Rhinolophus ferrumequinum: one gene and its partners. The protein of the gene in region 4 interacts with the protein of the main gene of each other region in a biochemical or structural test. Links are inferred from orthologs where the notes say so. Each region holds a gene or a part of one and is shown on either strand. Other genes may lie near its edges.

Region 1 (7,513 bases), about 2.3 Mb from region 4:
ATATGTCAAACACAGCAGAACAGATGTCAATTACCACAGAGTCCGTGTCAGTGAGACTTTGGCAGCCTCAGGTGATGTCATCCTTTTTTATCTCATTTAAGGTTGGTTGGGGAACTGAAGTCAAATTCTAAAATCTTCAGTGTTGTTTTCCAATAGGACTTATTTTTTAAATGGCCATAACACATAGCTCAAATTATGCCCTCATTTATAGGCAAATCTAAAGGTATTCTTTTCCTCACTTAAAAAACCTCTAAAAATTTCTCATAAAAGACTTATAAAACCATATTCTAAAATTAACCCCACATTCTCTAAAATAATTTAGAAGTTTAAATTTTACTCTAAACCAAATTCTTCCTCCAAACCCAACCTCTATCAATCCACTGCCTTCACGGAGACAACTGAAGCAGAAAATAAGTAATATTTACTTCACACATTTACTACTTTTTTAGGATGGAGATACTGTAATCAACTGGATATTAATTTAAGAAAAATATTGCTTATCATCTAATTTCCAAGTAAATTTTTTAAGCAAGTGAAATTAACACCAAATCTATACTGACCATAATTTCAATTTTGTGGATATTTCAATGAGCGACTCAGGGTCTTTTGGTCCACTTCAAGATCATGACCACGAACATTAAAAGTTATTATGATGGGCCAGCCCGGTGGCTCAGGTGGTGGGAGCGCCGCGCTCCTAATGCCTAGATCGCCAGTTGGATTCCCACATGGGCCAGTGAGCTGCGCCCTCTACAGCTAATATTGTGAATAACGGCTCTCCCTAGAGCTGGGCTGCTTTTGTGCCCCCGGTGGCCAGCATGAGCAGCATGAAAGGCTGGCAGCCAGCAAGAGCCCCCTTGAGCTGCCAACCTACGGGGACTGACTGCCTCAGCCTGGGGGAGCACGAGGCTCATGATACCAGCATGGGCCAGGGAACTGTGTCCTATACAACCAGACTGAGAAACAACCGCTTGAAGGCGGGTGGGGGAGGCGGAAGGGGAAAAAAAAGTCATTATGACTACAAATTGAAATCTGGTTTTATTTTGTAAACACACCCTGCAAAGACCCTATTTAGGCTCAAAATGAAAAGCTGTAAATTTATAATAAAGTGTATTTTAAAATTCTCTCGTTACAAGAGCAGGGTGAAATTTTCATAATCTCTAACAAGAGACCTAATGAATATCATAAGGTGCCATTCTTTATAGGATACAAGTCAAACATTTTGAGAGGTATTTACAGTCATGTTCTTTGCAGTAAGTGGGATATATTAACCTACCATCCTTAAAAAAAATTTACGCTGCATACAATTTTGGAAGCCCTGAATTATAAGAGGAAAAATTACCCCTCGCACTCACCCCCCCCAAAAAAGGCAGAAAATAGCCCCTATTTGTTTCCTTAATCTTTTTGTTAGTTACACATGTATAAATGTACTTTAAAAATTGTAACTATGTGTGGTCACGGATGTTAACTTACTGTGGTAATTATTTCACAATACACACACATATCAAATCATTATGTTGTACCCCTAAAATTAATACAATGCTATATGTCACTTGTATCTCAACTTTTACATATAGTACTATCTAATTAAGTTTAAGAGGGACCTTTCTACTCTTCCTTGTTCTTGGGAACTAAGTAAATTGGCTGGGTAAAGGTTACGCACAAGTTTAGACCTTTCCAAAACATGGTCAGGACTATTGGACATCACAAAAGATTTTAGAAAAATTTTTCCCTCCCAAGCAAGAGCCAGAGAGAGCAGTCTGGTGCCAACTTAGCCATGGCCAAATTGCCAATGCACCACTTCCTTTGCAAGTCCCAAGAGCTCTATAAAATGAAACTAAGTTAAAAAGGGGGCCTATTACTAGCTGATGTAATAGCAGTATGGCCCACACGGATTTTTGAGGCCAAAGCTTTGCTGCCTTTTTTCCTACTGCCCCTTAACAGATGACTGCCTTGTTTGATAAGATTTATAAAAAGGGCGCGGGGGGTGGAGGGGTGGGGGTGGGGTAGGAGCTGACCTTAAGTTATTTGATGGTGCTACGGTGGGGGCAGGGGAGGAATGGAAGGATCTTAAAAACTGGGGACCAACTCCTGCTCTTTATCCCTACTCCGCAACTAATATCGATTGTTTCAAATGTTATACAATGTACTCTTAACAAAGAAGCAAGACTTTCTGGGCCCCCGAACGCAATGGTCTCTTTGCGGCCTCCACCACTCTTCAGCCGGTTGTGGAAGAGCTGTTATCAAGCGTCCTCACTGCTTTTGTTTGGGGGTGAAGCGAGTGCTAAGGCTCGGAGCAGGGCCTTCGACGGCCCACGACGCCCCAGGACTCGGAAGGGTGAGGCCCTGCCTTAGGAAGTGCTGGGAGGCCAGGCGGCTCCCGGAGCTTCTCCCTTCCCCACCTGCTGGGATAATGACTTTTCCTCGTAGCCGACGCTCGCACTTGCACTTTCCCCCCACCGGTGGCCCTGCGGCAGGGCAAGTAGGGACACAAGGCGCGCGTAGAGGAGATTTTTTGCATCCGCTAAAATGCAGCTGCATCCCAATCCCAGACCGGGCTCCCTCCCTCGCCGTCTCCACAGTCCTAGGTAAAACCCCTGAAGAACTTCCAGGAGGCGCCCTTACAACACGTGCAAGGACGCAGACCCCGCCGGACCTTGAGGCCCAGAGCAGACTGACTGACCCCACCCAAACTGAGATCTCGACCCCGGCCCCGGCCCCCACCCCGGCCAGGATCGCCGCGGACCCCATCTGGTCCCTACCTGCCGGGGCCCGCGTGGGGCTCGGCTGCGCGTTCTTACGCGCCTTCTTTCCAGGCATCTCCGCGAGCAGCCGGCGGGAAGTCTGTTGCAGACCTCCGGGGAACTCAGTCCCCCAACCTTGGGTTGCACCCTGGGGTCTACAGGACGCGAGCTGCGCGCCAGGCGGGCGGGCTGGACCTGATGGGAGCCGGCTGGAGACGGCACTCAGTGGGTAGCCGAGAACCTCGGGTTCTGGGGAGAAGCAAGAGCCCACGCTCACGTTTTACAGGGACTTCCCGATGACGTAGCGAAACTAGACGCCAGGCCCGCCCCTTTCCCCGCCCCAGCGAGCGGCAGTGGCCCGGGGTGCGCGCGCCTGGCCTAGGGGGGTGTGGGAACCCCGCGCCACCTCGCGCGACCTCGCGAACACGTTCCCGACCCGCGGCGGCGCCGACCCCCGGCGGGAGGTGCAGGGCGCTCGGCGGGCGAGACCTTGCCCAGTCCCGAAATCACTTCTGTCACAGACGGGGTGAGGGAGGAGGGGGTGGGGCCGAGGGACCTGAGGTGGAGTCCGCTGCAGTGGTGGCGGGGTCCAGGAGTCCGGCGTGGAGGAAGGTGTTCCTAGCAGGCAAGCCGGGGCTGGAGAGGCCGGGAACTTCGTCCTTATCATAAATGGGCAATTATAGACTTCTGTAAACAAAGCCCCCAAAAAGTTTGGAAAGGCAAGTTTTTTACACTCGGAGAACGTGGGGAGTTTCAGGAAAGTGCAATGAAGAGAAGTTTAATAACAGAAGGCATGATGCCAGAGGCCATGGGAGTAAATAAAGTACCAGATTGACACTTGGGAAGTTAGCTACAAATTGAAACACTGTTTTGATTTGGAAGGAAGGGTGTGTGTGTGTGTGTGTGTGTGTGTGTGTGTATTTGTAGACAGGGGGCTTCCTCTCTGGAGAGGTCGATGTTGCTCATTCCGGATGCTAAGTAACCTAAAAAAAAAAGTGCTTTATCCTACAGAAAACTTTCAAATGCTTTTGTGGAGGGAGGAATGAGCTACCTGGGAATACGAAGTTAATTTGCACAATGTGTGGCTGGCCCTTGACTAATTCCATTATTATGAAAAGAAGTAATTCGGGTTGGTTAACAGGTATTGAGGGCCGCTGCACGCTCAGGCTTTTAAGCGGGCATTTTCTCCTGTCCTCAAAACAACGCCAAGAAACGGGCGTTTTTACCATAGCGGTGTTGCGCAATTTACAGGTGCAAAACTGAGGTTTACCGAGGTGAAGTGAATTATTCAAGCTCACGGAGGCAGAGAGCAGTGCCAGGATCTGAACCCAGGCAGGCCCACAGGGAGCCAGAGCTGTTGTCCACTGCAGCCTTCCGGCGATCAGTTTCTGAGAAAATGTATGCTGCTTGTTAGCCCCGCTATTTCATGCAGAGGTTGCAAATTGGCTGCTTAGAGTTGCGTGGCTTCCTAGTAGAAATGTTTGGCTCACAGGATTGGTCTGCAAAATGTCTTGTGAACATTTGCATTGGTTACCAACATTTAAAATTGAGAGACTGAATTAAAACCCTGGATTTCTGGCGTCCTTTGGAAACTCAGACAAACCTGCGATCCGTTTTCCAAACGTGCTTCTTCCCTTAGGGAGCTGGAGCCCCTGTCAGCCACACTCCCTGCTGTTTGTTTTCTCATTTACATTATCTGGCCCCAGTAGGCAGTTGAGCTTGTTTATTTACCTGAAATCATTCAATCAACACAAATCTTCGACTATTTATTTTGGCTTGGTCCAGCAGAAGCATAGACAACACTGGAAGCCTGGAACAAAACTGCGATTTGAGTTTAAACAACTTCGTTTTGAGTGTGGTAAACACTTTGGGATTAAGAGAATTCGGGAGTTTTCTACCAGTGGCAAAGAAAGCCCTGCGGAGCTGCTGGAGAGCCCAAAACCACTGCGGCTCTCCTCGAGGCTTATTCTGATAAACCTCACTCTTAAGGAACATCATTAACTTTCTGATAGGATAAATTAGTAAACTTCTGAGACAATCATGGACGCTGAAAGGCAATGACAACATTCAACAAAAGAAAAACAAATTATGTCATTGTTTACCTACAAAGGGCGTGTTGATCCGGTCCTGTCATCTTAGCATTATAAAAGCTTGTTGGTCACGTGGTCCACACAAACCTAGGCAAGCTGTGTCTTTTAGAGAATTGCAAATTCGAAAGAAAAGGAAGGAGCAAGTGGGGGGAGGTGGGCTTCAGAGAGGGGTCAAAATCAGCCATTTATGGAGGACTTTTTAAGATGAGTTTGAGACGCCTCACAGTCTTTTTCAGACCCAACATTCTATTAAGGGAAATCGAAGCTGAATGTGAAAAACCTTTCTTAACTATCCACAGAGGGTGCCCAAAAAATGGATACACATTTTAAGAAAGGAAAACTGTACTAAAATTGTAATACTCAATATATACCGATAACCAAAGATGAATACATGTCACATTTGACTTCTGCAATTACAAGAGGTGCTCAAAGTGGTTACCATCAGTGTCCCAACACTTCTGATTATGGCGAACTACTGCTTGAGCAACGCTGACCAAAGTGTCCACTTGTACACATTTTTTGGCACCCCCAGTATGTCTCTGGAAAAGTGATGTATCATTTAATGAGAACTTGCACGAAATATAAATATGGAGATATTTTGACCACTGGTACTGATAAAATAAAATTTTCTCATGAAGCATTAAAATCCCCTATTATGTTTTTGTTGTTGTTGTTGTTGTTTTTAGGACTGGTGAGAGCAACAATTTTTTTAAACTACTACTACTACCAGATATAAGTTTTCATGGACCAAGTTCAACAATGACAATGCAAATCTGGTCATGCTTGTGTTGTCACTTCCCATGTTAAAAAAAAAAATACTGGAAAACAAAACAGCAAACATGATTAATAATAGAATAGTCATTCATATAGCTCATGTGGAAAATAGGATTTAACAGGAAGACAAGAAGATATGAGCGATGAATAAGGGGGAAATTTAAAGGAAGCCAGTGAAGATATATATGTATAGGCTGTAAACCTAAGTCTGTTTATTCCTGTAAAAGGGGACTTGTTTGTTTTTTCCTGTAGAGCATGTTTGTTAACACGAAGTCACCCTGATGCATTAATTGGTTAAATCTTTCTTTAAGACAGACACTGGGTTAGGCTCCGGGGAGAAAGTGCTTTCTAGCCCCCATGGAACCTGTGTTGAAAAGAGCAATACCTTACAAAAGCATGGTGCGAAAGACTGCCTTGTTAAAGTTCACTTCTGATTCTGGAGATCTAGCTGGTCTTAACATACTGCTTCTTAAACATACTGGTGATGCTGAAGCTTCTGGTCTATGGACAAGGCTAGAGGCTGATACAGGTAACCACACAGGCAGGTACAACAAGATGTGCCTAGAGCTGGGCCAGAGAAATGATGGCAGACCATGGGAGGTCAATTAAGCAAGAAAGGGCGTCTACATAGACACCTGAGGCATAAATAGGAGTTGGCCAAGCAATGAGGCTGAAGGGAAGAAGTGTGTTCCCTGCGGAGAGTGAAGAGCAGTGGGAAATGGTGAGAAGTAAATGGGGAGAGAAGCTGCCTGAGGAATTTGGGTATTATTGTGGAAGCAGTGAGGGCGGGGGGAACCACTGAAGGTTTTAAGGAGGTGGGCGATATGATCAGATTCTGGAGAGCTCACTCTGGCTGCAGTGTGACTAGATTAGTTGAGCTGAGACTGGAGACAGTGTGACTAGTGAAGATCCTGCTGGAATTCTCATACCTGATGGTAGTGTCAGCAAACTCACTGTTTTAACCGGTCTTATTAAAATTCCCATATTTCCTGACTGGGAGAGGACCCCCTTCTATTAGAGCAAGACTTGATATTTTTCAGCATAAATATAATTGACATCTTCACCTATATTAGTTTTCTGGAGCTGCCATCACAAAGCACCACAAACTGGGTGTTTTAAAACAATGGAAAGTTATTCTTGCACCGTTCTGGAGGCTGGGAGGCTGAAATCAAGGTGTCAGCCTTGAGGTGTCAGCCTCAAGGTGTCATGCTCTCTCTGAGGGCTCCAGGGGAAGAATCCTCCTTTGCCAATTCCAATTTGTGGCAGTTCCTGCAACACTTGACTTCCAGATGTATCCCTCCAATGTCTGTCCTGGTCTTTACATGACCTTCCCCTCTTTGTGTCTGTGTTCAAATTTACCTCTTCTTATAAGGACATCAGTCATTGCATTAGGGCCCCCACCAATCCCATAGGACCTCATTTTGACTTGATTACATCTGCAAAGACCCTACTTCCAAATAAGGTCACATTCATAGGTTGGCAGGTGGGGGATAGTGGGGAATTAGGACTTCAACATATTTTTGGGGGGACTCATCTCAATCTATAACGTCTCCCTTTACCAATTGCCTTTTTTAAAAAGTTCTATGTACTCGTATAAACCTTTCCTCCTATTTGTAATTTGTACTTTTTTTTTCTTTTTTTTTTAAGGAGCGGGCAGCTCACAGTGGCCCATGCGGGGATCGAAACAACAACCTTGGTGTTATTAGCACCATGCTCTAACCAACTGAAATAACTGGCTATCCCTGTAATTTGCACATTTTAGAAACCAAAATTCCCTTAGTAAACTTGACAATGGATTTAAGCAGCCTGAAATAAAGCTCAAAAGCAGTATAGATAATGTAAGAAATAAGATGACTCCTGAGGGAACAGGTTTAGAAGATATGTATACCCTGCACATTCGAAGTCGGA
Region 2 (7,310 bases), on a different chromosome or scaffold from region 4:
ACTGACTCCACTGGTGCCAAAGCCCCCTTCAGCAAAGGCACCACAGACCCCACATCTCTCCTTCCCTTTTCCCACCTTTATGCAGCCTTCTCCTCTCTCGACTGGGCCCCAGAGTGAGGACAGGCGCAGCCAAGTGTTGGCATTCTCTGGTCATCAGGCTGCCATTCGGGCAGTGATGAGGCCTGGGAAAAGAGAAGTAGATGTTTCCACGATGGGAGGCAGAGGGAGTAAGAAGGAAGAGGGCCCCAAAGGATGGGTGATGGGATTCCTTGCCCTCCTGACCTCTGCCCCAAGCTACACAGATAAGGGGAACTCCTCCGGCCCACGTTACACAGATTCTCCTCATACAGAACGACCCGCACCCCTTTGTTCCTGTGGGTATACTGGGAGCAGGGACTGAAGGCCACAGGAGGGAAGGAGGGGAGAGCAATCTGGAACATCTGGGGGGCTTCCAACCCCAAAGAGAAGGCAAAATCAGGCCGCACACGTGCCCTAGCCAACAGGCTACACCTGCCTCCCAGAATGACGGTCATCTCCCCATACTCCAGAACGGGTCTGATGTCAGGCCTTCACCCCCCTTCTACCAGTCAGGCCCAACCTGAGTGCCCAGGTCATCCCCACCTGTGTCTGAGAACAGGAGCCAGAGTCAGGGACCCAGTGGTGCCAAGAAAGTGATTCCTAACATCTTAGAGCAGGTACCTGATCCCATATCCTGTCCTAGATCAAAATCTCCTCCTCTACAGTCATTCTACAAGCATTTCCCGGGGGCCTCCTGTGAGACGGGCAGTTAGCCATGACTAGTGGGAGACCCAAGAAGCAGCAAACCAAGATCCCTGGGTCCCAGGAGGTTACACTGGGGAATCAATCAAGATCAATGGCAAAGTCTAAGTGGGCCCGGAGGAGGAGAAAGTGATGCTCTCCAAATGGGGTGGCGGCATCAGGCCAGACATCAGTACCTACCTCCTGCTCCCTCTTCCTCACTGTGCTCCAGCCATATGGGCTTTTCTTTCCCCACTCAGGGCCCTTGCACTGGCTGTTCCCTCTGCTAGGAAATCACTGCCCTGGATGTCTGTATAGCTATCTCCTCCTCATCAATCAGGTTTCCATTCTCATTTCCTTGGAGCGCCTCTACCCTACCCCACCACATTAACCTGTTTTTGTTATCCCCATAGGACTACTGCTGCTCATTTGTTCACCTGTCTCTCTCGATCGATGTAGTCTTCAGTCTCTAAAACAGCTTGACGCTAGTAGGTACTTAATAAGTATTCGTGGAATGATGGAAAAGGAGGAGGACTCATGCATGCCTGCATTAGAACTGAGCTGGGAGCTTGGAAGGATATTGCAGCTAAGGAGCTGTCCCTTGCATTTGGGGACAGATTAAAAGTCTGAGGGCTCTTCCCTATGCTGAGTCAAAACCCTGACCCCCAAGAGCCCCCAGCCCTAAGTCCCAGCTCTGCATGGGCCCACCCAAAACCCTTTTCTTTCCTAAAATAACTGTGTCTTTTCTTAACTAAACTCCCCCTTGCAACAGGACATGACTGACAGACCCTATGCAGCCCTGGTGGCCTCCTAGGCAAAAGATCTGCATTGGCCAAAGTCTCCAACCAGAAATGGGCATTTTAATATAACAAAGGATAACAACAGGAAATACATGTTGAACGCCATGGGCTAGATACATCATTAAGCACTTTACATGCATTTTCTTATTTCAGCCTCACAACACTATGAGGAAGGGACTGTTATTATTATTATTATTATTATTATTATTATTATCATTATTATTATTATGAACACTTCACCAATGAGGAAATTAAGGCACAGAAATGTTAAGCACCTTGCCCAAGGTCACACAGCTAGAAGTGGCAAAGCTGGGATTAGAACCCAGGGAGCCCAACCAGGGAGCCCAGGGCCACGCATTCTGCTTTCCCCCTTGGACCTGATTAGTGGATAGAGGTCTCAGATTGCACAGAGCAGTTTGACAGCCAACACCAGAGAACAAGTGGGACGCTCCCAGGCCTGGGTTGCTGGGCCTCTGAACCAGGCTCTAGGCCTGAACTCCTGAGCTAATTTTCTTAACTCCAGCACAGGCCTCAACATTTATAATCAGTCACATTCATCTTGTTAGTCTTGGTCCATCCTTCTGCCCAGTTGCCATCATTTGGAATCTTGATTTTTATCCTACTGTACACTTGTCACTCCTTTCAGCTCTAGGTCACTACAAAGATTCAGCTGGCTTCCCTTTTAAGTCTTCCTTCATCCTTTGGGCAGAACTGTTGTGAACCCACCGACCTATGCCCAGCCTTCGTTTTCCCAGCATGCCCTTAAATAGTAGCCCCAAACCCAAACTGATACTTCACTGTAAAGGACTGTAAATGCCACCTCCTCAGCATTTCTAATTTCAGGTCGGCTCCTGACTCCATGAGACCCTTCTCGGCCTCGGTTTCTCAACTCAGTCCCATGAAAGGACTGCACCGGGCAATCCTGATGCCTCGCGGCTCGGCGTCCTGGCAGCCACGCTCCCCAACTCCTGGAACCCGTTCCCCGCAGCCGGCAGGGAAATGGAAGGAATTTCTCCGGCCTAGACACCTCCAACGCCCCTCGCGGGCCAAACCCCACCCTTGGCGGGCTGGTTAGAGAAAGCATTGGCCGCCGTTCTTGGGGGCTGACTCCGAGGTAGCAGGTTCCGCTGGGAATCCAGTCCCTTCCCCCACGCTGTCCGGCTTCGAAGCAGGACTCCCGGCGTGGCCCCGGCCCATCCCAGTGCAACCGCAAGATCCTCTTGTTCCCGGACCTCTGCGGGACCACCTCTCCCCGCCCCCCCCGACCCGCTCACCTGGCCGGGCGAACGTGGCTCGCCTCTCCACCCCCGCCTTCCCAGCTAGCGCACCAGCCGGCGGGGGAGCCGCTCCGCACCTCAGAGGCGACCATGCCTGGAGGCCTGGGGTCGCGGGCGCCGCGCGGGACCCCCACCAGTTCCGCTGCAGCCGCCTCACGCTCCCGCAGCCGAGCCGCCGCGCCGCCGCGCCCCTCGCCCGGGGGAAGCCCCCCACCTAGCAGTTCCGGCTGCGGCCGCGCCCCCCGCCCCCGCGGCCCGCGGGCGCCCGCGCCTCTGTCCCAGCTCGGGGCGCGCCTCCCCCGGCAGGCGGGCGGGCAGGGACCGTGACGTGCACCCATTGACGTCTCCGGAATCCCGGCGGCGGCGGCCGACGCAGCCTCATCAATGGGGCTAAAAATAGCGGCGCCCGGAATAACTGTGAGCGCCACGCCCTGCGCCCCCCCCACACCCCCAACACACGCGCAGAGCGCCTGGTTACATAATCCGCCCCGCTGCGGCTGGGCTGGGGTGCTGTTTTTCAGGTGAGGGTTCTGTGGCCTTGCTAACACCTTCCGAGACAGCAAACCTGGAGCTGTTATAAATTTACCCGGGGCTTCCCCTGAAAAAGAGGTGGAAAATGTGAGGCCCAGAGAGGCTCTGCAGCAGCCCAAAGTCACACAGCAATTAGGCTGAGAGAACAGGCCTCTGAGCCCTGGGCACCCCCCACAGCATCTCTTGGCCTGCATGCCACCCCGAGGGCAAGGAACCCAACTAGTACGGTGCCCACGGAGTGGTTAGACCCCAGGACCCAGGAAAATCAGCCAGCAGGTCTCAGAGAAGAGGACTTCTTGGGGGAGTGAAATTTCTCCTGAAGAGAAGCACTCCCAGAGGTGGGAGTGCAGAAGGGGACAAGGCCTGGGTGTTGGATTCACAGATCTGGGTGTTCCTATACTACTGTCTGACCTAGGGCAAGTCACTTCACCACTCTGAGCCTCAGTTTCCATACCTATAAAATGGGGATGATAATATGACCCATCTTTTCTGGTTTTCGGGAGAATGGAACAGCTGTGGAGGTGCCTTGTACACAGTAGACACTCACACTTTCTCCTCCCTGGTCTCCTCTTGGAGTCTGACTTCCCCAATCCGACAGCGCGCGTAGTGCAAGAAATACCCAAAGGCTCACCCCAGTGGCCAGGAAGCCCTGAGTGGCTCATCCTCTTTTGAACATAGTCTCCAAGCACAGGCTTCCCCAGTAAGAACCTTCTGGGGATGGCAGTGCTCGGAAGGTTTCTCTCTGCCACCTAATTGGAACACTCTTTGGAAATGGGAGAACCATCTTGTTCTGAGCAAATCCTTTTTCCCCAGCAACCACCCATTTAGCAGTGGATAGTTCAGGAAGGCCTGGCCAAGGCTGGAGCAGTGGGGCTGGGTGGGGTTGGGGTTACCATGTCTGCCCCTATACTGCTAGGCAGGCAGGGCCAGTGGGGAACACCCATTCGGCAGGACCCAGTCCTGTGCTCTGTTACACCAGCCACCAGCGCCTGCTCCCTGTGGGAGCCACCTTACATTAAGAGTATGCCAGTTAATCCAGCAGGCCCCACGCAGCACAGAATCTCTGCATTCAAAACTCTCAAAATGAGGCCTCACCACCCAACTCAGCGCTCATTCCAGGGACCAAATTCCTGTCCCCACCCCCAGAAATCCTTTTTTTTGGATCCATCCTAAACTCTTGGGGCAACTCAGAAGCCCCTTTCTCTCGTTCTTCATAATAATCCCAAGAATCTCTGGTTTGTCTCAAAGTCACCTCTCAGGACCCTCATTTTTCTCTTCCAGATTCAAGGACGGGGCCAAAATAGAGATAAAGAAATTGAGGCTTCAAAAATGGCACTGGGGCGGAGCCATGGACTGGCTTTTTCCTCCCCTGTCACCATCCTCTCCTTCCTGTCCCAAGAGTTTCTTCCAAATGGGCTTTTTAAAGAAGCCACTACCCCCACTTTTTCTTTTTCCAGAAATCTAACTTTTGAAATACATTTTAAAAATATTTGCCTGTGTAGGAGAAATACATTTATTTGGATAGGAAGGATTTTTTTAAAAGGCTCAGTTACCAGTTTTTCCACAAAGGCTTCCAGCCCACAGAGGTCTCTCTCTTCTATAAATACTTTAGCACAACTTGGCTTCATTTTATACTCTCATGTTTTATAATCAAATAAAATATTTCTTAAAATATGTAATGCTAAAACACACCTGTGTGACTCATGACGGCGGTGTGAGGTGGTAGAAGGATCACAGGCCCAAGAGGCCTGGGATTGACCCTGGTTCCACTGTTACCAACTGTGTGACTTCAGGGAAGTTACTCACCTTCTCTGTGCTTCTGTTTTTTCATTTGAAACACAGGAGGATAACATACCATCTCACAGGGTTGTCATGAAGAGTGAATCTTTGATGGTAGAGATAAAGAATGCAGCAAGGAGTCTGGCACATACTAGCAGACCTACCATTTCCATACAGGAGGACTTGGGAGATGGCTGAGCTGGGGAACTTGTCTGGAAGCTACACATGCAAAGCACTCACCTGGCTTTGCCCAGCTGGTGTCATTATTTGGGGGCTTGAGGAGCTGCACAGATGATGGGGGCAATGTCATGTCTTAGTGTTATTACAGCTGTATGGTAAATTTTAACTCCCTTGTTGTCTTCTCGACCCAAGTCACTCAGCTAGTCAGTGGTCCAGCCAGAATCACAGCCCAGGACTTCTGACACCCAGACCAGTGGTCTAGTTTTTACCCACGATCTTGTTCCTTCACACTTTAGCCCCTCCTCTTTCTACACAAATTCCAGGAATTACCACACAGCCCCTAGTGCAGATGGGAAAACTGAGGAGAGAAAAGGTCAACTACTTGCATGGCTCAGGAGCTAGGACTAGAGGGGAAAACAGACATCCTGGCCAGGGCTGTCTCACATTCTGGAAAATTCCTAAGAGAGGACAAGTTCTTGCCACAGAAAGCTGGTTCCTAATCTGATGGCAGGCAGGACACAAGAACAGTCATGAAAACATTGCTAGAAGATCCAAGAGGCAGCCTCCAAGAGGCCTCGAGCTGACATTGGGGTGGAATCTGGATAGTTAATCTCAGAGGCTCCCTGGAAGAAGAGAACACAGGGCATAATATGAAGGTACAGACAGGACCAGGAAAGGCAGAGAGAAGGGAGAGCATCACATGGAGGAGAAAGGCTGACCTCAAAGCTCATAGGGATGAGATGGGGGCAGGGTTGAGATCCAGCTTGTGGTTAAGCCCCAGGACAATCAGCCAGACCCTTAGTGTTCTTCCTCATGCCCCTCCATGTCACAAAAACAGAAACCCTTGATCTAACTTCATGCAGTTAGGGAGACATCATTCCACCTCACCTCCACCCTGAACCAGTGGGAGCATGGTCAAAGGATGTCAACGGGGTTCCCCAGCCCATTTGAGCTCTGAAGGGGCTCCCCTACTTATGCCCTGCCCTGAATGAGGAGAGGGGCAATGGAAGGGATTCCCTTTGAGGTTCCCTTCCCCATCTTGAGGATTAAGAAATACCTGGCTGGGGTCCCCCAACCCCTCCCCAGACTTAGGAGCAATTAAAGGGCACAGAAAATGGGGGACAAGGCCTTCCTGGGGCTTTCCCAGGAATTGGGGCCTTCCAGGGACTCCACCTGGATGGGGTTACATGCTCTGAATTACACGAGGATGAGAAGGCACAGCTGGGGGCTTTTTCTTTTTGAAGTGCCTCCACATTTGCTCTTCCCTGGTTGTCGTGGAAGGCCTTCAGGGCCAGAACGAAAAAGTGGTCAAAGTCACCAGATTGGAAGTGACAGAGCTGCAATTAATGCCAAGATTACCCTAAATCCAAGCCAGGCTCTTTAATAACAGAAATCCTCTGTAACTTTTTTTTTTTAACTACAAAGTCAAACAAGCTCGTTGTAAACAAACGCAAAACGTTACAGAACCGCGTGATTTACGAACTGAGAGGCCGGTAATCCACTCCCAGAGGAGCCGAATTTGGTAATTCTCTGGTGTCTGCTTCCAGATTTCTCTCCTTGCCGCCAGAGATCCGATCTGGCGCGGTGGGCCCTCCCCAAGGGGCCGGGACCGGAACGCTGGGCCGGAAGGAACAGGGCCGGGCACCGCTGGAGGGACATGGCCTCGGTAGTGGCCCACGCCGCCCTCCCGGGGGTGGCCACGCTGGCCCGCACCAGGCCGGGCTGGGCCGGCTGGGGCCTGGGGAAGCCGCTACGTCAAGAGGCTGACCGAAGGGAGCCCGCGCGGGGTCCAGCCAGGTTTCCATTACGTCACCCGGAGGTGCAGAGCGGCGGCGGGGCAAACACCGCTGCAAACCATTGGCCGCCCTTCCAACCAATAGCACGAGAGTATGCAAATCAGCCATGTCGGCGTTGCTTCCTTTGGGTCTGGTGTACGCAAATAAACGACTCTGCAAGGATGGGGGCGCCCTGGGATGCGGAAAAA
Region 3 (7,098 bases), on a different chromosome or scaffold from region 4:
GACTCCGGGCAAATCACATCTCCTCTCAAGGCTTTAGTTTCCTTGTCTAGAACCCTGAATTCTGACCTCAGAATGTGACTGGCTCTGAATATAAATGGACAAAGCCAGCCTCCTGCTCAGACATGGAGCAGGGCAGCTCCTACTATCAATAGAGAAAAGCTTCCCAGTATAGCCGAGGAGGCTGTCTGACCGTGGGCAAGTGCCCTTACCTCTCTGAGCCTGTTTCCCCATCTGTAAAACAGGAGTACAGTACAAATTACGTCACGGGGTTGTTGTGAGGATAAGGTAAGATGGTGCACAGGCCTGGCACAGAACTAGTGGGCAGTCAATGTTACCTGGTGTTATTTTTAGAAGTAGTTAACATTTTTATTAGCAATGGAAGTGACATTAATAACTCCTGGTTTATCAGAATCAGTATTATTTGATACTATTGCTTTAGTATCAGTACAAATGGTAGTAGCAATGATGATGTTTTACTCCTTATTCACAGAGAACTAGTATTATTCAGCATATTGCGTATCAGTACTAGTAGCAATATATTTGTATAGTTTCCAGAGTTGCTGTGAGGTAGATTCATAGTGGCAACACCTGTGTGTGTTCTCCTAGGTACTTTCCTGTAGAAAACTAGTTTCTCTACTAGTTTCTTTCTCTGAGCAATTAGAATGCTAATGAATACTATGAACCAGACAGAGGAATGGATAAATTGGGATGTCCCCCAGACTTATGCGATCTCAGGACACATTTTCCAGGGGACGGGTACCTGTCAGACAAATGCCAAGAAAACAAACAATGGAGGTTGGGAGCTGCCAGCGCCTGGTGTGCTGGCTGTGTAGCCCTGGACGAGTGACTCAGCCTCCCTGAGCTGCTGTGTATGTGATAATGAAAGAGGTTCATACACATGAAATGTCTCGAGCACTTGCCTGTGGCTGGTGATCACCGTGGTTACTACATGTTTTACTTCCAACCTACTTCACGTCAGAGATGGGGAAATGAGGCTCAGGGGAGAATGCCTGGGCCAAGGTCACTCCTGAACTGGAGAAGCGGGTCCTGTGGGTCAACCCGAGCCACCCCTGCTCCTTACCCAGGATGTCCAGCCACTCGTCCGGAGCCGGGACAGGCTCAGGCTCGGGCTCCATGGCAGCCAGGAACTCTCGTGCCAGGGCCCCCGGCTGCTCGGTCTCCTCCAGTGAGGGCTGCCCCACATCCTCCAGTGGCGGCAGCTCACTCAGGTCCTCTTCCTCTTCCTCCTCTTCTTCCTCCTCACCCTCTGCATCTTCTACCCCATCCAGCACTTCGAAGTCCTCAAGTGGTGGTACCCCAGCAGGCGGCCGGGCAGCGGGCTCAGGGCCCGAAGCAGAGGGCTCAGCACAGGACGCCATGCTGTTGGGGGGACGGGAACTGGCCCTGGGAGGGGGAATGCATGGGATTTGTGAAAATCCCACTCGGCCCCTCAAATCCTCCTATGTATCCGCTCTCTGCACTGTGGATCATTTGCTATGTGATTCAGGGGCTCCAGGCCTGTTTCCTCATCTGTACAAAGGGTTGAGCAACAACCCTGGTTTGTCCAGAGGATTTAAAGACCCAAGGATCAAGCCCAGGGCATCAGGCTCGAACAGCACTAACTATTATTAGAGCTAATATTTAATCTTCATAAACACTACAGGGAGTAGGAAACATCCCCCCCATATTTTGCAGAAAAGGAAATCGAGGCCCAGAGGGGCAAAGCCATTTGCCCAAGGTCACAGAGCAAGCCAACTCAGAGGCAGGATTTGAACCCAGGGCTTTATCTGATTAAATTCCCAGAGGAGGTGCTGAGTTTTAGGGGACAGTCCCTGACGTACTCGAGAGGCTATTTTTAGAGTTTAAGGGAATTAAATTTTACCAGGGCTCCCCACCTCCACCTGCCCCTTCCCCTAAGGAGAGTCCCATGCTAACTTCCCACCACCCAGAAATCCCAAGCCTTTTCCTTCCAAAACGCTGAACCTAAACCATCACCCCCCACCCCACCCCACACACACACACACACACACCCGCGGCCCCACCCCCTCACCACACCAGAAATCCTGGCCCAAACCCTTCTCTGGGAGCCCTTTATCCTCTCCTCGGTCTTCCTGACGACCCTCCCAAAGTAGGCTTCTTTACAGGAATGATGGATATTCCCACCGCATTCTACAGCCTCTTCCTTGGGCCACCAAAGACTGCCCCCCTTCCCCAGACCCCAAGCTTGGGAAAGCGGCGGGTGGAGGAGGAGGTAGGCAGAGCCGTCATTCTAACGCACAGCATCCCCTATTCCCTCCCTAACCCTCACTTGCCTGCTCCTTCCGGGCTCGGGCCCCTTTTTCTGAGACCCACCTAGCCCCCACCCCCATAATCCCCTGCGCCCGCACAAATAGCCCTCCCCCCTCCCCCAACCACCGCCCCCAGCCTAGGCCAGCTGCCCCCACAGCCGCTCAGTCGCCGGGTAAACACCCCGATGACGGACGACCCCCTCCCGATCTCGTAACACCCTACGCCCTCCAAACGCCCCCGGCCTGGGCCTGGCCCTCCGTCAATCCCCCAACCCAGGCCCCCAAAGTCCCACGCCTGTTTGACGCCACCAGTCTAGGGCCCCTACCCCCCGCACCCCTCGAGCGCCCCCGGCCCTGCACGTCTCTACCAGCGACAACCCCCTAGCTCCCTTCGGCTCCCCCCAAAACCCCCCCCCCGCCGTCTCCGCCGGGCCGCGCCCCCTCGGGCACTCCGACCCCCAGCGGCCCCCCGCTCGCCTCCCCCGCGGCCCTTCGCCCCGCCCATCGGTCGCAGCCCGGCCGCGCCGGCCCCCGGACCGTCCTAGGCCCGAGCAGCGCCCCCGGCCGGCGCAGCCCAGTCGACGCCCCTGGACACGTGCCTCCGGCTCCGGGACCCCCGCCTGGGGTCCTGCGCCCCCCTCCCCGCCCCCAGACGCAGCCGTCGCGCCTCGGGAACTAGGCTCGGGCTCCAGGCCCCGCCCCCACCATGTCGATTGGCCGCCGCCGCCGAGACTGCAGCGCTCATTGGTCTACGCATACATCCGTCTCCAGCGCAGGCACCGCCCCCTTCCTGCTTGTATCCGCGGGGTGTTCTTAAAGGGGTAGAGGCTGCTGCTCTACCGGAGCGGGGGCGGGGGCGGGGGCGGGGTGGAGGTGTCCCTGGATCAGTCTGTTTACGAGTCAGCGCCTCACCGCTGGTGCGACTCACCGCTCCCGTGTAAGCTTTTTCCTGCCCATCTGCGAAATGGGGATGAACACCCCAATCAACGCACTCTCCCCTTGGGGGCTGTTGGGAGGACAGTACTAAATGGTATTTCTTTAAGGAGATCAGGCCTGACGGTCAGGGCGGCTCTGGAGCTGCTGGATAATCTACCTTGAAGCCCTAGCTAGTTATGGATGAGGACCTGAGGCGCCTAAGGGCACACGGTACCCCTTCTCCCCTGTGTGGTCTGTCTAATCTCCGGGAACTTGCCTGACGCATACAGGAGGAGCTCAATAATGGCTAGGTGAGCTACTGAGCGAGCAGGGCCGCTGGGGGTAGTTACTCCTCCCTGTACCTTGTGCCAGAGAGTGATAAAGTGCCCATGGTCCCTGGAGAAGGTGGCTGCCTCGATTAGATGGGTTATTATGGATCTTGTTTTGAAAGGAGGGGCAATTATTCTTCCCTGGCTCTATTTTTTTTCCAGCAGTTACCACCATCCAGAATAATCTTGTTTGTTCTTTTGCTTCTTCTCCTTTCTTCCCAACTCTGCTCCTACCTAAAAGGAATTTTGCTTGATTTGTTCCCCACACACACACCTCCTTGAATGATGCCTAGCACCTATGGGAGTTCAGTAAATGAACTAATAATTGAATAAATGAATGAAACTGGCTTTGGAGGTAGCTAACACTGGAGGAGGTAACTAGTTTTTGGAGGGAACTAACTTGTTAGATCAGTGCTCGGAGGTCATCTCCTACAGGAAGACCTCCCAGACCTCCCCAAGGCAAGGCCAGGTGCCCCAATTGGCTGTTCCTAGACCCATGAACCTCCACTTCATAACTCACTGACTTTTATCCGTGCCATTACTTGCCTTACCTCTGCCCACTAGTCTAGGAGACCCTCAAAGTCTGTAACGGGTCCGTTGTTTCTCACTGTTTCAGTCCTGAGGCCTGCACAGTGCAGAGCACAAAAGGTGGAGGGTGGGAGGACTTGGGGAAATCATTGTGGAAGGAAGGAAGCAGGCTCATCAGCCAAAACAAATGGGAAAGCAGTGAGGATATATGAGGAATTGCCTAGGAAGAATATCAAACCCTGGGTCAATCCCAGTTCTGAGGGACTTGGACTATTACCTGTTCATCTCTGATCTTCAATGTCTTTATCTGCACCCATTCAGCCTTACCTCTTTCATGGGCTAGAGGAATTGTAATAAAAGATACTATACATAAACAACTAAAATAAATATAAACTAATAACATCAACAATTATAACAATAATATCGTGTTTCCCCGAAAATAAGACCTAGCCGGACCATCAGTTCTAATGCGTCTTTTGGAGCAAAAATTAATATAAGCTCCGGTCTTATATAATATTACGTAAGACCCAGTATTACATTATAGTATAGTATAGTATTATATATTATATATCTTATATTACATAAGACTGGGTCTTATAGTAAAATAAGACCGAATCTTACACTAAATTTTGCTCCAAAAGACGCATTAGAGCTGATTGTCCAGCTAGGTCTTTTCAGGGAAACACGGTGACAGCTGAGACTCCGGTGTCACAGGTGTAGGCAAAAACTGTGTATTTAATCCTCCCATCAGCCTTATGAGACAAATACTCTGATATTTGGAATCCACATCATTGGCTACGTACAGAGTTGCAATCGTTACATCTTCCTGGTGAACAGAACTTGTGATTGTTGTGACATGCCCCTCTTTATCTCCATGCTTCTGGCTTTTGAGTGGACTTTGATATTAAGATTGCACACCTATTCTCTTGGTTTATCTTTTAAAGTTTCCATTCTTTTCCACCCCTTATCTTCCACCTTTCGGTACCCTTATGTTGTATATGTGCCTCTTGTAAGCAGAATAGAATCAGGTTTTGTTTTTTGATCCATCCTGCCCATCTTTATCTTTTAATTGGGGCATTTGGTCTCCACATTTAATGTAATTACACACATATTTGGACTTAAATCTGCCCTCTCGTGTTTTTTCTCTGTAATACCTTCTCTATGCTCCTTTTCTCTCTCTTGCCTTCTTTAGAATTCGATGTATGTATTTTGGTAAGACTCTTATTATCCTTATTCTGCAGATGGGGAAATTGAGGCACAGAGAAGTTAATTAACTTGTTCAAGGTCACAGTGATGAAGGGCACAGTGGGCCTGGTATCTTACCCCATTGAGCTTCTATTCCAGCCAGGGAGCTGGATACTGCATAAACAATAATGCAGATAAGTATCTAACTGCAGCTATGATGAATGCTATGTAAGAAATAAAATTGGAAAAAGTGGCAGAGAAAGGTTTCCAGTGCCCAGACTTAGGCCTCCCCCACCACCAATGTCCCCATCACTGGGGCAACTGAGCAGTCACATCATTTCCCACCCTCTCCCTCAAACACACAAAGGAGGAAAATATTTTTCTTGTCTCTACTCCACTGTGCACAAAACATTTGGGGCCAGCCAAGTCCCTTTTGGCCTCAATGTGCAGCCCCCACCTCTTCCGGGACCCTCGTAAATGTTTCCTGGCCTCTAACAGAGCCCAAGGGACCCATTGAAAAGCTTGATTTCTTCAGCCTGGGCCTCTTCTGCTGCAGCCTGCAGACAGAGTCATGGTTCCACTTTCCCCAGCAGCCCCCACCAGTGCTCCCCTCTCAGCACTGGCTGCTACCTGGCTCACTGAGCTCTACAGTTCTTAAAAAGATCAAGTCCAGACTAAATGTTTTCCCACCACCCTGTCTTTGCTCCTGTGATTCCCTCAGCCTTGAATGAAAGTCAGCACCTAGAAAACTCCTAATCCTACCTCAAAACCCCATCCAGACATACTTTCTTCTTTGCCCTTAAAAGGAGTTCTCATACCCCCACTCTTAAGGTTCCTCCAGCTTTGAGTCTCTCCTCCCTCTAACCCAGCAGTGTTCCACTCAGGGTTGGGAGTGTCTGAGTCAGACTCTGTCTCCCTCCATCCTTCAGGGCTAGGCAGGGACTGAGTACTCTCTGGATTCCCAGAATATGGGCCAAATCCAGAGGGGGTGGCTAGAGGGTTACTGACAAGTTTTTTAGACTTTTGAACTAAGTGTTTAAGAGTCCTGGTCTGTATTAACTTTTCAGTGAATTAAGGCAGCAAAACATGCGGGTAATAATACAGTTTACCAAGGGCTTACAGTGGGCCAAGACGTGTAAAGAACTCACCTGCCTGATTTCATAAGGTTAAGCCACTTGCCCAAAGCCATCCAGCTAAGATGTGACAGAACTGGAATTAGAACTCAGATATATCCAATTCCAGAGCTCTTAAAGAGTCTTTCATGTGCCCCAGAGCATGGTATGTGTTTATCTCCCAAGCTTTCAAGAACCTTAAAAGGCAACTGTGGTGATCACCCAGGCTCACAGTTAACAAACTGAGACCCAGAAAAATTAGACGTATAACATACACACATTATAAGACCTCCATAACTAATGATAATGAATTGCTAATATTTATTAAGCAATTACTATTTTGTAATTGCCCCGTTTTGTTTATGGTTTTCAGTATATAGCCAAGGTGACAGATGTAGGAGTAAATATAGATGTGTGTATGCATAGGTTAGTAGACATACTATGTATTTGCTAACTCTGACAGCTGAGAGCGTGGTTAAGCAATGAGCACACCCAGCACCCAGACCTTGGTTTTTAAATACCATTCTCCAAGAACAGGAACCAGTGTCCTTGGAGAAACTGCTGATTCCAAGGATATGCCAAAGCAAACATGGAAAATCTTGTGCCAAAAGTAAGAAAGTACTTACTTTCTTACTTTCTTAGAGAAAGATGGAAGACATATTAAAGAACGTAGGTGATTCACTTAAAGGGGCAGCAAGATAAATAACAGAATAAAATTCTCATGAGTTCAGAGCAATATAA
Region 4 (7,250 bases):
GATGAAAAGTCAAAGATACTAAAATTCCAGTAAACTGTAAAATCGTACACCAGTTACAGAAGTGGAACACAAAGCACACAGCCGATGCAAATTCTGTTCGTGGTGAGACAACGTCCAGTGCAAGATACTCGGTGATGCCCACTGGAATGTGGCACACACTCCGGCTGGAGTCCCCAGACTTCTGGAAAGTCAACTTACCTCTTTACAAACACAGCTATGCTTTCCAGGGAAAGGGGCTACACTGGTTTTCTGCTTTGGGTAGATTTTTACCAGGTGGGTGTCAGAAAAGGCACGCCCGAGGTTTTCTGGTGCAGTGTGTTCTTGTAATTGGGTGGTTCCCAAATTTTAATACAAAGAAGAAACCCCCAGGGGAGTTTGTTTAGGATGCTGATTGCCAGGACCCAACCTGGGGTCTGGTTCATGAGTAGTCCCTGAAATCCCCGAATTCAATAACCGACTCCAGCCAGGTAAACTGTGATGCTGGGGACCCTTGGACCCCCAGTTTGAGAAACCCTGAAGGGATAACCATTTATCCCAAGATTTCACTGTACAGCAAATGCTGGATCTTGGAACCTCAACAGCTGACAAGCAAGGAAAACACTTTGGGCAGGAAGGAATGATCACAGTGTGGTTGGCAGGGAGAGCTCTTTGCAGGGGGAGAGGTGGGAAGCACCACACCTGATTTACGTCACTGGCTCATCAGCCTGCCCTTGGCCCAGGAACACACGCGCACACTGCAACCACCGCATCCCTGACCAGAGACGCGAAGCCCAGACTCACATCCAACCAGACATGCACCTACCCAGCCTCCGTTATCCTGGATCCAGGTGTGCAGGTGCCGGTTCAGGTACTCGGTCATCCACAGGGCGATGTTGTCCACCAGGGGCGACATCTCCCGGTTGACGCTCTCCACACACATGACCCCACCGAACTCAAAGAAGGCCACAATCCTCCCCCAGTTCACCCCGTCCCTGAAAAGCTCCTCCACCACCGTAGCAAAGCGTCCCCTCGCGGTGAAGGGCGTCAGATGCAGCTGGCTGGACATCTCGGCGAAGTCGCGGCGGTAGCGACGGGAGAAGTCATCGCCGGCCTGGCGCAGGGTCAGGTGGACCACAGGTGGCACGGGGCTGAGCGCAGGCCCTGCGGCGGCAGCGGGGGCAGCCAGCGGCGGCGGCGGCGAGGTCCTGGCGGGCGCCGGGGTGCGCTCGGGCTGGGAGGAGAAGATGCCCGGCGCGGGGGTTGCCCCCGAGGACGCGGCGCCCGCGTCTCCGGCATCCCACTCGTAGCCCCTCTGCGACAGCTTATAGTGGATGTACTTCATCACTATCTCCCGGTTATCATACCCTGTTCTCCCAGCGTGCGCCATCCTTCCCTCGAGGAAAAGCAGCCGGGTACCAACAGCACCTCTCGCCGCCTCTCCCGCCCCACGGCCCCGAAGGAAAGAAGAATAGTTATAATCCAGCTATTTTATTGGATGTGCTTTGCATTCTTGGATGAGGGGGTGTCGTCAGTCACGCGGAACACTTGATTCTGGTGTTTCCCTCTTGGCATGAGACGCAGGAAATTTTTATTTAAATTCCTTTCGGATCTTTATTTCATGAGGCACATTATTATTACTTATTGTCAATATCAATCTACTTCCTTCGTGATCCTGAAAGGTTAAAAAAAAAACAAAACTGATAAGTCCAGATCAGGTGCATTTTCCTGTATACACTGGGTGAAAGCAGAGCATACACACTACAAGTTACACGGCTAAAAAGAATGTATTAAACTGGCCGGAAATTAAACTTACTCGAATGCACTTAAAGACAAAATCGCAAATGTTTCTATTGAAAGTTACATTAAACCAATTTCCTGTGCAAAGAACTTACTTGTATTTTTTAAGGACAACATGATCTTCTGTCAAGTATCCTTTTTTGTGAAAACAAAACAAATGCATAAGGCAAAGAGTCCATCGATCTTCAGAACTCTCCGGTTATAGCTGCTTTAAAACTTCCAAATGAATCAGGAGTTGGAGGGGGCTGCGGAGGAGGGTGGTAAAAATTAGGAGAATTTCCAGATTGATTCCCAGACTTCTTCACAGAAATGTCAATCCGCAGGAATCCCAACCGGAGATCTCCAGCACGAGAAAAAAAAAAAAAAGAAAAAAAAAGGCAGCGGCGGCGGCAGCAGATGAATTACAATTTTCAGTCCAGTATTTGCAGTCTTGTGATTTCCCCCCTCTCGGCAATTTACACGCGCGCACACACGCGCGGGCACAGACATGGACCCCTATCCGCGGGACCGCTCCACGCCTCCCCGGGAGAGACACGGGGACTGGGGGCCCGGTGGACGCGCCGGGCACGGGGGCAGGAATCCTCTTCTGATTAAACTCCGAACGGCAAATGCATTTTTCCGAAAAGCTGCTTGATAAATGAAGGCAGGACGCGCCTGGCCCGCCGGTGCCGAGCGCGAGGAGCCCGCGCTGTGTGTGGTGCGGCGAGGGGTGGGGAGAAGGAGGTGGTGGGGGAGGGTTTTATTTTTTCCCTCTTTTCCTAAAAAGGATGACTGCTACGAAGTTCTCCCCCCTGGACCCCCTCTTCCGCTGCACCCCACCGGCGCACCCCGCCTCCGGGCTGCGCACCCTTTCTCCTCCTCCTGCTCCTGCGCGGCGGCGCTGGCGGCGGCCGTCTCCGGCGCTCCCGCCGCGCACCCGCTCCCGGCGATGACGGCCGTGCCGGTGGGGAGGGCCCGGCGCCCGGCACCTTCGCTGGCAGCGGCGACGGTTCCAAGGGGAAACCGAGAGCGGCGGGAGGGCGGGCAGGAGGGCGGCGGGCGGGGGAGGGGGCGGGGAGGAAGGGGGCGGGCGGGGGGGCCTGGCCTCTTACTTCATTCTCCGTTCGAATCGACTGGTTTCCTGTACGTACGTCACACTGTTCATTCAAAAAAAAGAAGAAAGAAAGAGCCCTCCTCTGAGCGGCCCCACCGCCCCTCCGCCCCGCTCTCCTTCCCGGGTTAAAGGAGCCGCTGCCGGGCCGGGAGCGGCGCGCCGGGAAGGGAACACATGGCGCGCAGGGCCGCGGCCGGGGAGGGCGCGCCTAGCACGGCCCCCGCCCTCCCGGGCCGCTCCGCCCGCCTGGCCGGTGGGTGGCGCGGGTGGCGCAGGCCTCCCGCGCGGCCGCGGCGCGGTGGGTGTGCGCGGGGCCTCCTCGGGCCTGCGGCGGGCTGGGCGCGCGCTCGGGGGCCGGCGAGGGGCCGGGGGTGCCCGGGAAATGGGACGCGCCCGGGTTGGCGGCGGGTGGGTGCGCAGGGAGGGCGCCGGGAAAAAAAAACAAAAAAAAAAAACTGCGATCCTTTCTAGCCGTGTGTGTGTACATCGTGTTACCAGCGCTTGGCCGCCGCCTGAGAGACGACCGAGGCCGATGCTGACCCGAGCACAGGGACCTCAGCGCTGCCCTCCCGTAAAGAGAGGCGACGCTGCACATTCATTAGCCAGGGAAGCCCCAAGCGTCTTGTTTACTTTAAAGTTGCCTCCTAGGTGTCCACGCGGAACACATTCTGGGACACCATCCGTGACCAAGGCCAGAGAGAGCTCTCAGCGGGCCGGTGGAGGGGCGAGTGGGGGATATCAAGGGCTTTGAAATGGTTCTGTCAATGTTTTTTCTCTGCTCCTGGTACAGAGTTAGGACTGTCCGCTGCGGAGGTCCACGGGGCGACTTTAGGCCCACAGTCCCAACACCAGGGTGGGTGGGTCTCTAAAGGCCTCCACAGTCGCCTAGCAGCCAATCCTAGATGGCCACACCTTCTCAGTTGTACACACACACACACACATACACACAATTTCACACACATGTACACACAAGAACACATTTTTTAATTCATCAGCATTGGTAGCCCCAGGAGAAAAGCACAAGAGCACAATCAAATTGCACGTTAACTATTTTTATCCCTCAGAGTCTTTGACATATAAAGCCCCGAGAAAAAATGTTTACTACAAGCACAGCAGCTTGCTTAATAGGGCTCAAGTACAAATATATAGGGACACTGGATAATTGTGGTCTTAGAAATATGACAAATGAGCACTGCACTATATACAGATATACTGTCTGACACTATTTTGCCTCATTCCTAGTCTAAAATCAAAGCATTTATTCCTAAGCAAAAAAAGCACAGCAAATTATTCCCCTTTCTTCATCTTTCATACCCAATCAGCCCCCATGCCAACCTCTTGCATGTAGGAATGGGTGTGTGGTCTAAACTTTGCATTTAGGCAAGAGGGAGTAAAGGAAGACGCTCCATTCTGTCTTCTGTTGGCTGTGACAGAGTCCCCCTTTACCAACGGCAGTGGCGGAGAGGTGTTCTGGCCTGCAGATAGACACTGGGTATAGATTGACCTGAGATACATATTCCCACAGAAATAGTAGAAACCCGCCTAATGCCACAGCATTCTGGTTTAAGGATCTTCTCAGAACCGTGTCTTAAACCCCCAAAATGATTTAAGAGGAATTGAAAGCCTTAGTGCTTCTGAGACCCAGCATTTGAGTGAGGAAATGAAAGGACAGAGCTGGAAAAGAGACTGTACTTCTGCAAAGGGGACAGCCGGAACGAAACATACCGCCATTCCCAGGGAAAGAAAAGCTTCCTTGTTTCTCCCTCTCCTTTGCTCCCTAGAGCCACACTTTACAAATGTCCCCAGACTGATTCCTTATGTGGCATCTTGAGCATAACCATTCTTAGGATAGGTCTGCATTACAGTCCTTAGCTAGGGTTTATATTCCCTGGGAAGGTTCTGGATACTCTTTCAATGGAAGGAATGAAACCCTTCATTCAGATTCCATGTTTATTAGATTCCACTTTAAAGAGTGAGGTCAAGTGTTTTCCTCAGAAGTGTGTGAATTAACTCTTTGTGTCTGGGCATTGGTGAGGTGGTGACAGAGCACAGGGCTATCAGGAGTCCTGGGTTTGAATCCTAGATCTGTGACGGAGACCTTCCAACAACTGCAAATGTTGCTCTGTGGGCTTTTCATTTCCCAAAATGTCTTCCACTTTTAAGAGCCAATGGACGACCCGTTTGCCAGCTTTGCCTGCCTGGCTGGATTCTAGGAGGGTAGATTCTAGGAGGCCTGTGTTTTCCCTCTTTATTCTCCAGTCTACCAAACAAAAAGCTTTTTATTGCCAGTTTTCGCCACCTACTGGTTAATGTTTAACAGTATCATTCAGAAGGCTCTCTTCATCCATTACCAATATAAATATTTCCAAAGTTTATGAAATTCAAAAAGAACATTATTCTAATCTGGATGTACTAGTGTTTATTATAGGTATGTATTAAATCTTCCCAACTATTAAATTTTTTATTTAAAATGAGGAAAGTCATCATTAACTGAAAGGGAGTGGACACCTAATCGGTAAGATGAAAGAGTTAAAAATATAAAACATGACCCGAACAATTTAGGTACACTGAAGTGGAAATAAATCCATAAACAAAACAAACTGACTGGAGAGAAACAAGTAGTCTATATCGTTTTCATAAAATAAGAAAAATGAACTACTTAAAAAATAACATCTCACACACCTAGATAAAAAATCCAAAACACTGATTTCCAATTTCAAATATCTATCTTCTCAATTAGTTCCAGCTTTATTGAGATATAATTGGCATAAATCTTATACATTATAAACTCTATGCTAAGTAGTACCACACTCTCAGAGGGTTTGTATACTTTGTTGGCAAACATTATATAATAATGTTACTAATTAGTTACTAATATTGATATGAACAGTAACACTGTTTCTGATTCACTTATGCTCTAGAGCCTTTCTTCTGTAAGAGTGATCACAAGGGAGTCATCTGCTGCGCGCCCCGAAACTATCCTTGGCATCATCGGGAAACCCTTGCCAAATCTAAACCAACAAGCTTTGGTTTAACAGAGAAACCCACCTGACTAATTTATGATGGGTCTTAAACCTCAAAAAATATTTAGAATAATTAAGCAACAACCTTTGAAAGTAGGCAATGAAAAGCAGATAAATCATTCCTTGTGCAAGTTTAACAGTGGGCAAATAATGTTTACTTTTGGTTTACAAAGGAAAGTGCCAGCAATTCACTTGTGGCAATTTTTTCCTTTCAAATTAACGACTTGGCTTTTGAAGTGAAATAAGAGTAGGAACTTATATTTTTCAAACGCCTACTGCTGTCGTTGGATCGAAACTGCAGTAATAAAACCAAACAACATGAAACACCATAGTACTAAGGGGGTAATTGACAAAGCATTTACATTCTTAATGTGCAAAAACTAACTTTTATTCTCATAATGCTATTTAGCACACAGCGCAGTATCTCCCAGATGTTAATTCCTGACGAACACATTTAGAAAAATCAAGGTTAATATGTTTGTTTCCTAGGACTGGCATAACAAAATACCACAAACTGGGTGACTTAAAACAGAACTTTATTCTCCCACAGTTCTGGAGGCTTAAAGCCCAAAATCAAGGTGTCAGTGGAGTCATGGGCCCTCTGAAGGCTCCAGAGAAAAAACTTTCCTGGCCTCTTCCGGCTTCTGGTGGTGGCTGTCCATCCTTGTTGTTCCTTGGCTTGCAGCTCCATCACTCTGATCTCCGCGTCTGTTGTCACATGGCCTCCCAGTGTGTCTGTTTTCTATTATAAGGTCACCAGTCATATTGGATTAGGATCCTAATAACCTCATCTTCACTTACTTATTTTAGTAAAGATCCTATTTCTGAATAAGGCCACATTCACAAGAACTGGGGGTTAAGATGTTAACATCTTTTGAGGGCACACAACTGAACCCATAACAGTATGTATCTAATACTGTGTTTCCCCGAAAATAAGACCTAACCAGAAAATAAACCCTAGCATGATTTTTCAGGATGACATCCTCTGAACATAAACCCTAATGCAACTTTTGGAACAAAACTTAATATAAGATCCAGTCTTATTTCAGGGAAACACAGTATGGTATCTCTCGAATAAATGAGGATTGTTTATTCCAGGGCCCAAGGACTCAGCAACCCCTAAATTTCAAGGGGAACCATAATCTTTCGAAAACTGAAATCTGGCCATTTCATGTTTCCATTCAAAGTTCTACACAGGCTAAAATCTCAACTCCTTTTGCACAGCATGATGTGGCCCAAGCCTACCACCTGGGTGCCCTTCCACTTTCCCTTCTCGCATCTTCATTAGCTTTGTGTGCTGTCTGGAATATGCCAAGCTCTCTCATGACTTTTGCCTTTGCATATCTGTTTGTCTCCCT

What was found.
Region 1: the proteins of BCL2 (region 4) and PMAIP1 interact in a biophysical measurement, tested with the Homo sapiens proteins (2 studies listed by BioGRID and IntAct, with this or other methods). The link is inferred for Rhinolophus ferrumequinum from reciprocal best matches to the Homo sapiens genes BCL2 and PMAIP1.
Region 2: the proteins of BCL2 (region 4) and NR4A1 form a complex in vitro, tested with the Homo sapiens proteins (2 studies listed by BioGRID). The link is inferred for Rhinolophus ferrumequinum from reciprocal best matches to the Homo sapiens genes BCL2 and NR4A1.
Region 3: the proteins of BCL2 (region 4) and FKBP8 form a complex in vitro, tested with the Homo sapiens proteins (4 studies listed by BioGRID, with this or other methods). The link is inferred for Rhinolophus ferrumequinum from reciprocal best matches to the Homo sapiens genes BCL2 and FKBP8.

What each region holds. Positions count from the first base shown.
Region 1 is NC_046302.1:48,151,042-48,158,554, reverse strand, and holds the start of PMAIP1 (phorbol-12-myristate-13-acetate-induced protein 1), read right to left. Parts: upstream 3,007-7,513; 5' UTR 2,818-3,006; coding exon 2,760-2,817; intron 1-2,759. UniProt on the Homo sapiens protein: Promotes activation of caspases and apoptosis. Promotes mitochondrial membrane changes and efflux of apoptogenic proteins from the mitochondria. Contributes to p53/TP53-dependent apoptosis after radiation exposure. Promotes proteasomal degradation of MCL1.
Region 2 is NC_046293.1:52,243,576-52,250,885, reverse strand, and holds the start of NR4A1 (nuclear receptor subfamily 4 group A member 1), read right to left. Parts: upstream 3,020-7,310; 5' UTR 2,834-3,019; intron 1-2,833. UniProt on the Homo sapiens protein: Orphan nuclear receptor. Binds the NGFI-B response element (NBRE) 5'-AAAGGTCA-3'. Binds 9-cis-retinoic acid outside of its ligand-binding (NR LBD) domain.
Region 3 is NC_046301.1:51,275,698-51,282,795, forward strand, and holds the start of FKBP8 (peptidyl-prolyl cis-trans isomerase FKBP8), read right to left. Parts: upstream 3,004-7,098; 5' UTR 2,888-3,003; intron 1,405-2,887; 5' UTR 1,380-1,404; coding exon 1,082-1,379; intron 1-1,081. UniProt on the Homo sapiens protein: Constitutively inactive PPiase, which becomes active when bound to calmodulin and calcium. Seems to act as a chaperone for BCL2, targets it to the mitochondria and modulates its phosphorylation state.
Region 4 is NC_046302.1:50,485,043-50,492,292, forward strand, and holds the start of BCL2 (apoptosis regulator Bcl-2), read right to left. Parts: upstream 3,018-7,250; 5' UTR 2,868-3,017; intron 2,612-2,867; exon of another isoform or gene 2,022-2,611; 5' UTR 1,872-2,021; intron 1,652-1,871; 5' UTR 1,367-1,651; coding exon 803-1,366; intron 1-802. UniProt on the Homo sapiens protein: Suppresses apoptosis in a variety of cell systems including factor-dependent lymphohematopoietic and neural cells. Regulates cell death by controlling the mitochondrial membrane permeability. Appears to function in a feedback loop system with caspases.